Linked DNA regions of Stegostoma tigrinum. The protein of the gene in region 1 binds, or shares a complex with, the protein of each later gene. Links are inferred from orthologs where the notes say so. Each region holds a gene or a part of one and is shown in the gene's direction. Other genes may lie near its edges.

What was found. Proteins that work in one complex are often made in the same cells at the same time.
Region 2: timm22 (region 1) and timm10b share a complex: the UniProt entries of both Homo sapiens proteins name them as parts of the TIM22 complex. The link is inferred for Stegostoma tigrinum from reciprocal best matches to the Homo sapiens genes TIMM22 and TIMM10B.

Annotation. Positions count from the first base shown.
Region 1 is NC_081380.1:48,970,365-48,977,576, reverse strand, and holds the start of timm22 (mitochondrial import inner membrane translocase subunit Tim22), read left to right. Parts: upstream 1-4,116; 5' UTR 4,117-4,150; coding exon 4,151-4,400; intron 4,401-7,212. UniProt on the Homo sapiens protein: Essential core component of the TIM22 complex, a complex that mediates the import and insertion of multi-pass transmembrane proteins into the mitochondrial inner membrane. In the TIM22 complex, it constitutes the voltage-activated and signal-gated channel.
Region 2 is NC_081359.1:113,860,071-113,867,700, reverse strand, and holds the start of timm10b (mitochondrial import inner membrane translocase subunit Tim10 B), read left to right. Parts: upstream 1-4,584; 5' UTR 4,585-4,636; coding exon 4,637-4,657; intron 4,658-5,696; coding exon 5,697-5,792; intron 5,793-7,212; coding exon 7,213-7,482; 3' UTR 7,483-7,630. UniProt on the Homo sapiens protein: Component of the TIM22 complex, a complex that mediates the import and insertion of multi-pass transmembrane proteins into the mitochondrial inner membrane.

The DNA of each region.
Region 1 (7,212 bases):
TGCTGGAAAAGCTCAGCAAGCCTGGTAGCATCCATGGCGAGAAATCAGAGTTAATGTTTCGAGTCCAATAGCTCTTCTCCATAACTAATATTGGCTTGGAAAATGTTTTTTTTTATGCAGTGGACGTTGTGGAACTGGTCATAGAGTTAGAGAAAGTCATAGAGTCTTACAGCACAGAGACAGGCCCTTTGGCCCAAACTGGTCCATGCCGACGAAAATGTTCATCCATGCTAAGCCCATTTCCCTGGACTTGGCCCATATCCTTCTAAATCTTTCCTATCCATGTATCTATCCAAATGCCTTTTAAATGTTGTTCATATACCCGCCTCAACCACTTCCACTGACAGCTCATACCATATTTGTACCACCCACTATGTAAAAAAGTTGCCCCTCAGATTGCCATATGTTCTTTCCCCTCTTAACTCAAACTGAAGCCCTCTAGTCCTTGATTTCCCAACCCTGGGAAAACGACTGAGTGCATTCACCCTATCCATGCCTCTCATGATCTTATGCACTTCTATAAGATCCTCCGTCAGTCTTCTACACTCTAAAGATAAACGTCCTAACTTGTACAAACTCTCCCTCTAACTCAGTCCCTTGAGTTCTGGCAACAACCTTGTAAATTTCTTCTGAATTCTTTCCAGTTTAACAACATCCTTCCTATAGCAAGGTGACCAAAACTGAACACAATATCCAAGTACGGTCTCAGCAATGTCATGTTCATATGCATCTAACCTACAACTTCTACACTCAATGCTCTGACTGAAGGCCAGTGTGCCAAAAGCCTTCTTCACTGCCCTGTCTACCTGTGACTCTACCTTCAGAGAACCGTGCACCTGAACTCCAAGGTCCCTCTGTTCCACTGCACTCCTTAAGGCCCTACCAGTCACCATGATACTCCCACCTGGACTTGACTTCCCAAACTGCAACACCTCACACTTATCTATATTAAACTCCATTTGCCATTTTTCAGCCCCATTCCCCAGGATGTGGTATTTCTGGATTTCAACAAGGCATTCAACAAGATATAGCACAAAAGGCTGCTGCATTAGATGAAGGTGCATGGCATTACGAGTAATGCATTAGCAAGGACAGCCACTTGGTTAACTAACAGAAATCAAAGAGTGGGAATATCAGTGGCTAGTGGTGTGCCTCAGGGATTAGTGTTGGGACCTCAATTGTTTACCATTTACATAGATGATTTGGAGGTGGAGACCAAGTGTGGTGTGTAAAATTTCACAGATGGCACTAAAATGAGTAGTAGAGCAAAGTGTGCAGAGAACACTGAAAGTGTGCAGGGGGTAGGGAGGTGAAGTGATTCAGCAAGGGTCTGGAAGATGGAGTACAGTACTGGTAACTGTGAGGTCAACCATTTTGGTAGGAATTACTGCAAAGTAGACTATTATTTAAATGGTGAAAAATTGCAGCATGCTGCTGTGCAGAGGGACCTAGATGTCCTTGTACATGAATCACAAAATGTTGGTTTGCAGATGCAGCAGGTAATTAAGAAGGCAAATGGAATATTGTCCTTCATTGCTAAAGGTTGATGGAGTTAAAAAGCAAGGCAGTTATGCTGCAGCTGTATAAGGTGCTGGTCAGGCCATACCTGGAGTACTGCGTACAGTTTTGGTCTGATTACATGAGAAAGGATGCACTGACAGTGGAGGGGGTACAGAGGAGCTTCGCTAAGTTGATTCTGGAATTTAGAAGATTGCCTTATGAGGGGATATTGAGTAGACTGGGACTGCACTCACTGGAATAAAGAAGAATAAGAGAGGATCTTATAGAAACATATAAAATTATGCAAGGAGTGGATCTGATAAAAGCAGGGAAGTTATTGCTACTGGAGGGTGAAACTAGAACTAGGGAGCATAGCCTCAAAATAAGGGTCAGCAGATTTAGGACTGAGTTGAGATCAGTGACCATTGTGGATGTAATAGCCTGATATTCCACGGTTGGATCATGGTCCAGAAGAGGTCAGGAGGAGGTATCCATTTCAGGATCAGAGGAACAGGAAAGCTGATGTTTCGGGCCTAGATCCTTCTTCAGAAATGAGGGAAAGGAAGGGGGCTCTGAAATAAGTAGGGAGGGGGAGGGGGGGAGGTGGTGATAGAAAGTGCACAGATGAGCAGATATGTGGAGAGAAGACGAACAGGTCACGAAGGCGGGGATGAGGCTGGTAGTAAGGAGATGGGCATGCGGCTTGGGGTAGAAGGAGAGGATAGGTGGGAGGGAGGACAAGTTAGGGAGGCGGGAACGAGCTGGGCTGGTTTTAGGATGCGGTAGCAGGAGGGGAGATTTTGAAGCTTGTGAAGTCCATTTGATTCCATTGGGCTGCAGGGTTCCCAAGCGGAATATGAGTTGCTGTTCCTACAACTTTCGGGCAGCATCATTGTGGCACTGCAGGAGGCCCAGAATAGACATGTTGTCTGCGGAATGGGAGGGGGAGTTGAAGTGGTTCGTGACTGGGAGGTGCAGTTGTTTAGTGCGAACTGAGCGGAGGTGTTCTGCAAAGTTGTCCCCAAGCCTCTGCTTGGTTTCCGCAATGTAGAGGAAGGCACAACAGGTACAGCAGATGCAGCATACCACATTAGCAGATGTGCAGGTGAACCACTGCTTAATGTGGAAAGTCTTCTTGGGGCCTGGGATGGGGGTGAGGGGGGAGGTGTAGGGGCAGGTGTAGCACTTCCTGCGGTTGCAGGGAAATGTGCCGGGTGTGGTGGGGCTGGAGGGGAGTACGGAGCGGACAAGGGAGTCATGGAGAGAGTGGTCCCTCCGCAAGGCAGATAAGGGTGGGGAGGGAAAAATGTCTTTGGTGGTGGGGTCAGATTGCAGATGGCAGAAATGTCAGAGGATGATGCTTTAGATCCAGAGGTTCGCGGGGTGGTACATGAGGATGAGGGGGATTCTGTTTTGGTTTTTATTGCTGGGAGGGGGTGTGACGGATGAGTTGCGGGAAATGCGGAGGACACGGTCAAGGGCATTCTCGATCACTGAGGGGGGGGAAGTTACGGTCCTTGAAAAACGAGGACGTCTGAGATGTACGGGAGTGGAATGCCTCATTCTGGGAGCAGATGCAGCAGAGGCAAAGGAATATGGAATAAGGGATGGCATTTTTGCAGGAAGGTGGGTAGGAGGAGGTGTATTCTGGGTAGCTGTGCCAATCAGTGGGCTTGAAATGCATATTGGTTTTTAGGTGGTTGCTGGAGATGGAAATAGTGAGGTCCAGGAAGGTGAGGGATGTGCTGGAGATGGCCCAGGTGAACTGAAGGTTGGGGTGCAAGGTGTTGGTGAAGTGGATGAACTGTTCGAGCTCCTCTTGGGAGCAAGAGGCGGCGCCGATACAGTCATCAATGTACCGGAGGAAGAGGTGGGGTTTGGGGCCTGTGTAGGTGCGGAAGAGGGACTGTTCCACGTAACCTACAAAGAGGCAGGCATAGATGGGGCCCATGCGGGTGCCCATGGCCACCCCCTTAGTCTGTAGGAAGTGGGAGGAATCAAAAGAGAAGTTGTTGAGGGTGAGGACGAGTTCAGCTAGGCGGATGAGGGTGTCGGTGGAGGGGGGCTGGTTGGGCCTGCGGGACAGGAAGAGGCGGAGGGCCTTTCATCTTCACTGGAGAATAAAAACACCAGAAGGGAACAAATTTGGCCGAAGGCGTCACATTCCTTCCGCTATAATAAAATGTGAGGCCCGAAACGTCAGCTTTTGTGAAAGACCCTCTCCCCATCCCCCTCTCTGATGAAGGGTCAAGGCCCGAAACGTCAGCTTTTGTGCTCCTGAGATGCTGCTTGGCCTGCTGTGTTCATCCAGCCTCACGTTTTATTATCTTGGAATTCTCCAGCATCTGCAGTTCCCATTATCTCTGATACATTCCTTCCGCTAACGGGCGGGGCTCCCCATCCTGGAGGCGGGGACGTCAGCCCGGAGGCGGGGCACCCCGTCCAGCAGGCGGGGACTTCAGCCCGGAGGCGGTGCTCCCCGTCCAGGAGGCGGGGACTTCAGCCCGGAGGCGGGGACGTCAGCCCGGAGGCGGGGCTCCCCGTCCAGGAGGCGGGGACGTCAGCCCGGAGACGGGGCACCCCGTCCCGGAGGCGGGGACTTCAGCCAGTGGGGCGGGATTCATCGTGACTCACGCTGACGTGATGACGCATGACAGCGGCCTGCTGCACGATGGCGCCTGCGGAGGCTCGCTCATCAGCCTCTTCTCGGCCCGAGCCCGGTTCCGGGCTTATTTACTCACAGCTCCTGCAGCACCTGGTAGGGGAGCAACGGCAGCCTCGGGCCTTGAACCCAGCTGCGCTTGGCGGGATTCCCGCGCCAGTTAAATCGGATGAACAGAAAATGGTGGAACGAGCGATGGAGAGCTGCAGCTTTAAGGCGGCGTTGGCCTGTGTTGGAGGTGAGGGGCGTCGGGACGGGGGTCCGGGGGGTCAGGGGGCGAGGAGTTTGTGGGGTTGAAGACAAGAAGGTTGAGGAACAGGCACTGGGAATTGCAGGGGAGGAATAGGTTGGAGACTGGTCAGAATTGAAAGATGGAAGTTGAGGGGCTAGTGGAGGAACTCCAGGAGGTGGTGGCTCTGGAAGGGTGCATTGTGTGAACAGATGTTTCAAAATTGGAGGAGTTATAGGGGTGCAGAAGATATTGTGGGTCAGAGAAAGGAGGTAAAGATCCTCATCCAGCTACCAGATAGGGTGTTAGATAAATCCAGTGTTGGGTATCGTTGGCTGCGAGTATTGTATGTTTTGCGTGTTAATTTCTCCCATTATTACAAATGAATGAGAGTGTAGCCTGTAAAGAAAGCAGTAGAGCTAGAAGAGTGTCTAGGTCGGTACAAATTGTAGTAATTAGCCAGAAAATTCATCAGGAACAAGCCACAGATATAATGGGAACTGCAGATGCTGGAGATTCCAAGATAATAAAATGTGAGGCTGGATGAACACAGCAGGCCAAGCAGCATCTCAGGAGCCACAGATAGATGGATAGTTTCCAAAGAAACAGCGTGGGCCGGGTGAATCTGGATGTCCTGATGCAGAAATCACAGGAATTAGTGAGTAATTGGGAAAACTGTGGTCATGTTTGATTGTGAGGGGGAATTGAATGTAAGTGTATGAAGGTTATGCTTCCATTACACAGGGCACTGGTGATACCACATCTGAAAAACTGTGTACAGTTTTGGTCACTGTACTTACGGAATGTTAATGTTTTGGAAGCAGTTCAGAGAAGGTTCACTTGACCAATATCTGCGATGTGTAGATCGCCTGGTGAGGAAAAGCTGGACAGGCAAATCCTGCATCTTCTGGAGTTTAGAAGAGTCACAGGTGACTAATTGAAACATAAGACCCTGATGATATGGAAAGGATGTTTTCACTGTGGCAGAATCTAGATCTGGAGGTCATGGTTCAAGATTAATGATTTGCCTACAGATAAGATGGATAATGATGTGATAGTGTAGTGGGAGGGGCTTAGATTAGTTCACAGGTCGACACAACATCGAGGGCTGAAGGGCCTGTTCTGCGCTGTATTGTTCTATGCTCTTAAAGTCTTTTGTGAGGGCTGAGCATCTTTGGACTTCCTTTCCTCAAGATAATGGAAGCAGAATCTTTAAATATTTTTTGGGAGAGGTAGATGATCTTAGTAGTTATGAATATATCAGGGTCATACAGGAATGTAAAGTTGAGGTTAAAATCAGATCAGCTTGGTGGAGCAGGCTGATAGGGTCAAGTGGTCTATTCTCATTTGTGCATTTATATGGATCTTTGTACTTGGTTGTCTTGACCTTGACAAGGAGAATTGGTGGGATGTCATCTATAGTTCCATCTCTTGCTGGAGTGCTCGTAGGTATTAGTAAGAAAATGACAGGTCATTTAATCATGTGCTGTACATTTCGTTATTCCGACCAGAGTTAATCCTGAGAGATTAACTTGGGAGTGAGACATAGTGCAAGTGTTTACTTTTAATGGGAGGTGACAGGGAAAGCATTGGCTAGTCTGAGAGAAGTGCAAAGGACTGTGTCAAGAATCAAAATCCGTCCTAGACTGCCACACAAGAAAACTGGCTGGAAATGTAAAAACAAAAGTAAAGGTTTCTATAACTACTTAAAATGAGGAGAGCTGGCAGAGTATTTTGGTCCTTCGGGAAGTGAGATCGGATAATTAATAATGAAAGATAAGGAAATGGCGGATGGTTTAAATAAGTATTTATTTAATTCTTCATTCTTCATTATAGAGGTGACAGGTAACGTCCCAGAAGCAGCGATGTATCAGGAAATGGAGGGAAGGAAGAACTCTGGGAAATGACAATGACCAGAGATTGTTATTGAGTAAATTGTTGGAACCGTGGGCTGACAAGTGCCTGGGTGCTGCTGGACTCTGTTCTCAGTTTTAGAAATAGCTAGAAAGGTGATTGATGCATTGGTTCTAATTTTCCAATACTCCTGACGTGGGAAGGTCCCATGAGATTGAAATAGCTACTATTATTCTCTTAATGAAAAAGAGAGGGAAGATGTTCAATGTTATCAGTTAGTAAGTTATAGTAAAGCCCTTAGATAAATTCAAGGTAGTCAGACACAATCAGCAGGGCTTTTTGCAAGGAAGATCATACTTAACCAATCTTAAGACCGTAAGACACAGAGGCAGAAATAGGCTGTTCACTACATTGAGTTTATTGCATCATTCAATGAGATCGTGGATGAACTGATAATCTTCCACTCCTGTCTTTTCCCCATAAGCCATGATTCTCTTAATGTTTAAAAATCTGTCTCTCAGCAATCTATTAGTTATTTGAAGAAGTAATGTGCTGTTGATAAAAGAAATGTCACTGAATGTACTGAGCTTTAATTTACAGAACACATTTGATAAAGTGCCATATTGTGGGAAATAAAAGCTTGTGGTAAAAGGAATTAACATATTAGCATGGGTAGAAGATTGGCTGGCTAACAGAGAGATGATGTAAATAGGTTGTTTTCAGATTGGCGAGGTGTAATGAGTGGTGTGCCACAGCGATCAGTGCTGTGCCTGCAATCATTAATAATGTCTATCACTGATTAGATGAAGGGACAAAAGATATGATTACCAAATGCGATGGCACAAAAATAAGGAGGAAAATAATCTGTGAAGACATTTACAAAAACATTGATAAGTGAGTGAGCAAAGATGTAGCAAATGAAGTATGAATGTGAAATTTTCCATTTTGACTGGAAAAATAAAAATTG
Region 2 (7,630 bases), on another chromosome or scaffold:
TCAAAGGGGTATCTTTACTTCGTGCCAATCCACTGTTCTTTCCCCCATAGTCTTGAGCACTATTTCTAGCCAATAATCATCTAGTGCCTCTTGAATGCCTCATTTGAACCTGTCTCCGTCACATTTCCAGAAAGTGCATTCCAGACCCAACTACTCACTGTGTCAATACTGTGTTTCTACCTCACCTTTACTTGTTTTGCAACTCACTTTATATCGGTGCTTCCGTTTCTGGATTATTTTTTCAGGGCGTGGGAACCTATATACCCTGTCCAGCTCCCTCATGGTTTTGAAAACCTTAATCATATCTCTTCTTAGCCTTCTTCACTCCAACCTGTATGTCGAACAATTGCGATTTCTTCAATCTGTCCTCATCACTGAAGTTTTTTGTTCCTGGAACCATTCTTATATATCACTTCTGCAGATGTGTTCATATCTTTCCTATGATGTGGTGTCTACAACTGTACACACTACTCCAGCTGAGGGTCTAACAAGTGTCTTGTACAGAGAATACTGTATATGCTGTACTCATACGCATACACGTGCCTCCTCTATCAGTCCTGCCACTTTCAATGATCTGTACACATATACCCCGAGGTGCGTCTGCTTCTTCACCCCCTTTAGAATCATATGTCTATTTTACTTGTCTTTCAAAGGTCATCAATCATTCCAGTCAGTCTTTACACTGGTTTGATCCCCTCTTGACCCAGTATTACTCTGCATTACTAATCCGAATTTAAATGATACAATGGCGTCCCCAAACACTTGCCAGCACCCAGATTCAGCATTGTTTCTCATTGGGCCAAGAACACACTGATCAAAGACGTTCTCCTGAGCACATTTCATAAATTCAGCACCCTCATTCCCAATTATTCTAAAATTGTTCCCCATATATATTTGTTTAATTCAAATCTGAAAGTATTACCAAGCTATTCCATGTGATTTCCCTGCAGATTTGCTTCGCTCCATCTGTGTCCATTTGGAGGTCTATAAATTAACTCCTGTAACAGGGCCTTGGCCCCTCTTATTCTCTCTTCAATACCACAATGTCTTCTCCAAACATTACTGCTACCCCACATCTAACACTCAACTCCTTCCTTTTGCCTGTTCCTGTACGTTATACAAATGAATCTGCCTACGGGGATATCAGGCTCACTCTGTTGGGATTCAGCCATCTCATTTAAACCAACATTTTAAAGGCTGTCTTGTGATGCAGTGGCAGTGTCCCTACCTCTGGGCCAGGAGGCCCAGGTTCAATTACCACCTGCTCCAGAAGTGTGTAATAACATCTCCAAACAGGTTGAATGGTAAAACTTGTCCAACCCGTGCAGTTCTGAAGAATCACCATACCGGACTTGATGCATGAATTCTGTTTTTCTCCCCACCGATGACAGCAGACAGGAAACAGTGAGTAGGGATAAATGGGTCTTTTTCTGAGTAGTACACAGTGACAATGGGGTACTAGATGACACAAAGATGGGTGGGTGGATGCAGAAATGCAGCAGTGTGACTTGGACAAGTTGAGTGAGTAAGCAAATGCATGGTTGTCGAAACATAATTTGGAAAGATGTGAGGTTATCCACTTGGAAGCAAAAACTTGGAAGGCGTACCATTATCTAAATGGCAAGAAATTGAGAGAGGGGAATGTTCAACAAGACCTGGGTGTCATGATATACTGTAGATAAGCATGCAGTTGCAGCAGGAGGTGAAGAAGGCAAATGGGATATTGGCCTTCATAACAAGAGGATTCAAGTACAGGAGCAGGGATGTCCTGCTGCAGTAATACAGGGTCTTGGTGAGGCCACTCTTGGAGTATTATGTGCAGTTTTGGTCTCCTTCTCTGAGGACGGATGTTCTTGCTACAGAGGGAATGAAGCAAAGCTTTATCAGATTAATTCCTGGGATAGTTATAGAGTCATAGAATAATACAGGCCGTTCAGCATAAACTGGTCCATGCTGACCATGGTGCCCATTCAGCTTGTTCCAATTGCCTACATTTCGTCCATATCCCTCTAAACCCTTCTCATCTAGAAGTTTTTAGATGTTGCCATTATACCCGCCTCAACCACTTTTTCGGGAAGCCCATTCCATATATGCAGCACCCTCTACGTGAAGAAGTTGCCCCTCAAGTCATTCTTAAATCTTTCCCCTCTCACCTTAAACCTACATCCTCTAGTTTTCAACCCACTATTCCTGGGAAAAAGACTAAATGTATTCATTCTATATATGCCCTATACACCTCAATGAGATCATCCCTCATTCTCCCATGTTGCAAGGAATAAATTCCTATCCTGGTCAATCTCTCCCAATAACTCAGGCCTCCTAGTCCTGGCAACATTCTCATAAATCCTCTTTGCACAATTTCCAGTTTAACTATGTCTTTGCTATAACAGGGTAATTAAAACTGAAAACTATACTACACGTGCAGCCTCAACAACTTGTACAATTGTAACAGATCGTCCCAATTCTTATGTAAAAACCAAATGAACTGCAGGTGCTGTAAATCAGGAACAAACAAAGTTGCTGGAAAAGCTCAGCAGGTCTGGCAGCATCTGCGATGGGGAAAAAAAAGTTCACATTTCAGATCTGGTAACCCTTTCTCAGAACTAAGTAACTTTCTCAGTTCTGAGGAAAGGTCACCAGAACCGAAACGTTAACTCTTTTTACCTTCACAGATGCTGCCAGACCTGCTGAGCTTTTCCAGCAACTTGTTTTTGGTCCCAATTCCTATACTCAATGCCTCGACCAATGAAGGCCAGCATGCAAATATCTACCCTGTGACACGGCTTTCAGTGAACTATGTACTCGTACTCCTAGGTCCCTCTGATCCACAACACTCCTCAGGACCTTACCATTTACTGCATAAGTTCTACCATGATTTGATTTTCCAAAGTGCAACACCTCATACTTATCCGTATTGAATTGCAATTACCAATCTTCAGTCCACTTCCCCATCTGATCAAGATCCCTCTGTAATTTTTGATAACCTTCCTCATTATCAACGATACCTCCTAATTTTGTATCATCTGCAAACTTACTGATCATGCCTCGTACATTCACATCCAGATAATTTATGTAAATAACAAATAACAAAAGGTCCCAGCACTGAACCCTGTGGCACACCACTAGTCACGGCCTCCAATCTGAGAAATCACCCTCAACCATCACCCTCTGCTTCCTACTATCAAGCCAATTTTGAATTCAATTCGCTAGCTCTCCAGGGATCCCAAGTGACCTAACCTTGTTGTAGGAGGAAAGATTGCATCTGTTTGGATTTTATTCCCTGGATTTCAGAAGGATGATGCAGTGGGGTGGGGAATATCTCACTGAAACCTTTAAAATTCAAAGAGGACCAGACAGGGTGGATGCACGAAGGATGACAAGTGTGGAATCCAGGACCAAGAGACACAGTCTAAGTCATTATAAGTCATTTAGGACCGAGATGAGAAATTTCTTCACCCAGAGAGTAGAGAGCCTGTGGAATTCATTGCCACCGAAAGCAGTCAATAAAAACACAATGATTAAAAGAGGGAATTGTAGATAGTACCCGAGTTTAAAGGAATCAAACAATGATCGGTAAAAACACGCACAGACTCGAGTGGATGATCAGCAATGATCACAATGAATGATGCAGCAGGCTTAAAGGGCCTGCTCCTGTTTGTTACCATGTTTAACACAGCACTTTATAGTTTCCTGCTACTAGTCTGAATAAATAGTGACTCTGAACTGCAACAGTTAGTGACCCTTACCGTGAATAAACAATGAGGAATTCTGATGTTGGCAAACTGCATTCCTGTTACGTGGACTGATGTGTGGGGTTGAAGAGGCTAAAGGAATAGCCACAAATGGGGTGACAGGAGGAGGGACAAGGTACGTGTCAGGGGCCTGAGGAGGTTACAGAGACAAGGAGGGAGGCGGTGGTGGTAGCACTGAATACAGGCTGTAGGATGTGTGCATGTCACAGAGGGAGTACTCTGTTACACATTGTGATCCAAGCAGTACTCAGCTTGTTGTGTCGCAGTTTGATGTTTGAAGAGTCTACAATTTTCGTTCATGTATGCAGGTGAGACACATCGAGTGATGTCAACAAGGTCAGGGCGAGAATTAGTCTCCAAATACACGCTACGATCAGCAACTACATCAGTGCAAACCACAGCAGGAGGTGGAGAAATATACAGAGGGCAGGTTCATACCATGGGAGCAGGTCAAGGGGGTGGACTGCACTAGCAGTGGGTAAGACAACGTGGGCAGTTGGGTGACACTGACCAACTGAGAATAGCAACCCGTCCTGAGTATGATGGGCACTCCCTGGTCAAACAGACACCTTCCCCAGCAGTTCACAAATCATAGCGACACACAAATACTAATGGGGGGGGGGGGAGAGGGGGGAGGAGAGTGGGGGCGTCGGGGAGGAGGGGGAAGGAGGGAGAGGGAGACGGGTTAGGGTGGGGGGATGGGATGGACCTCTTGTTTCCCCCCGCCCCGTTCTCTTACCGGGGCTGCCGCTCGGGTGTCTCTCGGCGGGGAGGGGCCTGAGCCGGTTTCTAGGGACCCGGAGCCAGGGCGGGCCACCGCCAGGAAGTGACGACACAACTGGGCGGCTCACCGGAAGCGATTTGGGAAAGGTCGTCGAGACAGAATGGAGCCGGAGATTCGCAACGTGAGGCCCTCACCACCCCCACCCCCCCCCACCCCCACCCCTCCCTCACCCCCACCCCTCCCTCACCCCCACCCCTCCCTCACCCCCCCCACCCCCACCCCTCCCTCACCCCCCCCACCCCCACCCCTCCCTCACCCCCCCACCCCCTCCAATTTCCCCCACAAACCAAGAGGTTATGCTGCAGCTGTACAAAACTCTGGTGCGGCCGCACTTGGAGTATTGCGTACAGTTCTGGTCACCGTATTATAAGAAGGATATGGAGCTTTGGAGAGGGTGCAGAGGAGATTTACTAGGATGTTGCCTGGTATGGAGGGAAGGTCTTACGAGGAAAGGCTGAGGGACTTGAGGCTGTTTTCATTAGACAGAAGAAGGTTGAGAGGTGACTTAATTGAAACATATAAAATAATCAGAGGGTTCGATAGGGTGGATAGGGAGAGCCTTTTTCCTAGGATGGTGACGGCGAGCACGAGGGGGCATAGCTTTAAATTGAGGGGTGAAAGATATAGGACAGATGTCAGAGGTAGTTTCTTTACTCAGAGAGTAGTAAGGGAATGGAACGCTTTGCCTGCAACGGTAGTAGATTCGCCAACTTTAGGTACATTTAAGTCATCATTGGATAAGCATATGGACGTACATGGAATAGTGTAGTTAGATGGGCTTGAGATCGGTATGACAGGTCGGCACAACATCGAGGACCGAAGGGCCTCTACTGTGCTGTCATGTTCTATGTTCTGTGTTCTAACCCCTCCCCAGCTCACTTGCCCCAATCTCATGTGGCTGCCCTCTTCACTAAGAATCCCCCTCACCCCCAGAGTCTATGTCCTGCACAAACCCCCTCAGTAATACATCCGTTCATTCCTATCCCCCACTCCCAACATCATACACTCACGTGGAAATTTACGGACAGCAATGGCTGTGTTAGCATCTGTGTTTTCACGGGAAGGAGGTCAATGGCATATATGGAGGGGTAGGTGTATGGGTTTGTTTCTGCTCCTCTGTGATCTTAATCTCCAGCTCGCTCGCTCTCTCTTTGTTTCAGCTGCGGGACTTCCTGTTGGTCTATAACAAAATGACAGAAACCTGCTTCAACAAGTGTGTGGCCAACCTCAACTACAGGAGCATCACATTGACTGAGGTAAATCCAAGGATGACCAGCTGCACACATCATTGGAGGCATGTGATAGCCCTGGAAAGGGTTTAAACATAATTTTACCAGGATGTTGCCTAGACTAGAGAGTTGTACGAAAAGAGGTTGGAAAGACTGGGGTTATTTTTCTTAGAACAGAACAGAGTAGATTGAGAGTGGATGTGGTTGACATGCATACAATAATCAGAGTCGTAGATACGGTAGACAGGAAGAAATTTTCCCTTTGGAGGGATCAATGAGCAGATGTGTAGATTTAAGGGAAGAGCCATAAAGTTTAAAGGTTATTTGAGGAAAAATATCACATAGAGGTTGATGGGAATCTGGAACTCAGTCTGTCAGGATGGAAAGGGCAGAAGCCGCTTTAACATTGAAGAAGTATTTAGATGTGCACTTCTGATGCCAGGACAGGCAAGAGAATGGGCCAAATCCTAGATTAGAATAATTAGGTGACAGTTTTTGACTGGTGCATACTTGATGGACTGAAGAGCCTTTTTCTGTGCTGAGACCTCTCTGACTCTTTGAACCTCATCACACAAATCAGGAACAAGGGATCATTTTGACCCTCCTTCTTGGCTCATATCATTACTCCATCCCCAGTAATCTTTCACCCTTTGATTAACCAGAGATGAAAATGGGCTATTACAGTTAGAACCAAGAGATGTAGCTCGGTGTTAGATAAATACTTTGCAGCTATCTTTACTTAAGGGGCAGGTGCTGCTCAGTACATGGTGACAGAGACAAAATCTCAGTCACTGAAAGGGTTTAAGGTTAATAAGGAGCTGGTATTCAAGACACTGTTGGCAGTGAGAAGTCACCAGACCAGTTGAGATGCATGGCAAAAATTTGCCAGCGTTGCTCAGACAGCACTTTCCAAACCCATGACCACTTCCATACAGAAGGACCTTTTTCCAGCTACTTTGTTTTTGTTCCTAATTTGTGGCATCCGCAGTTCTTTTCATTTTTATTAAGGGCAACAGATACATGGGAACACCATACCCTGCAAGTTCCTCTCCAAGACACTCACCATCCTGACTTGGAAATATATTGCCGTTCCTTTAGTGTTGCTGGGTCAGATCCTGTAATTCCTTCCTTTAGGGCTTTTTGGGTCTAGCTACATCACATGGATTGCAGCAGTTCAAGAAGGCAGCACACCGTAACCATCTCGAGGAGCAAATATGGGTGGGCAATAAATCCTGGGCCCAGCTAATGACACCCACACCTCATAAGAGAATTAAAAAACAATGTATGCCAAGGATATGGAAGGGAAAGTGGAAATTGCAGAGATATTGACAAATTACTCATGACCCTTTGACAGTGCGGCCTATTAGGTGTCTGTACGATATGACACAGTTTGTTGATGGTATGCTCTGGAACGGAATGTGCTTTAATATGTTTCCTCTCTTTCTAGGAGAATTGCATCAACAATTGTGCTGGTAAATTGATCCACACCAACCATCGGTTAATGAGTTCCTACGTCCGGCTCATGCCAACCATTGTTCAAAGAAGAATCTCTGACTATGAGGCAAAAGCTGCAGAGGTTGTGCAGAAATCAAATGTGAATCTGCCTGCATCAGAGGGCCAAAGTAACATTGCTGAAATTGTACCAGGGGACTTGGAAAATTCTGTTATCCCTGACCCACTGAATCAGACTAACACTGGCTCTCCTGACCAGAGTTAGTTTCTTGCTCCCAGTGTCACCCTGGCACTAATTCTTTCACTTACCCTTGCGTGCACAGATTGAGTGATTCCTTCCAACTTCCAGCGAATCAAACGGCATCAGTTGGGAGCTGATGTGTAACAGAAAATCAACAGACCCAGCTCAATAT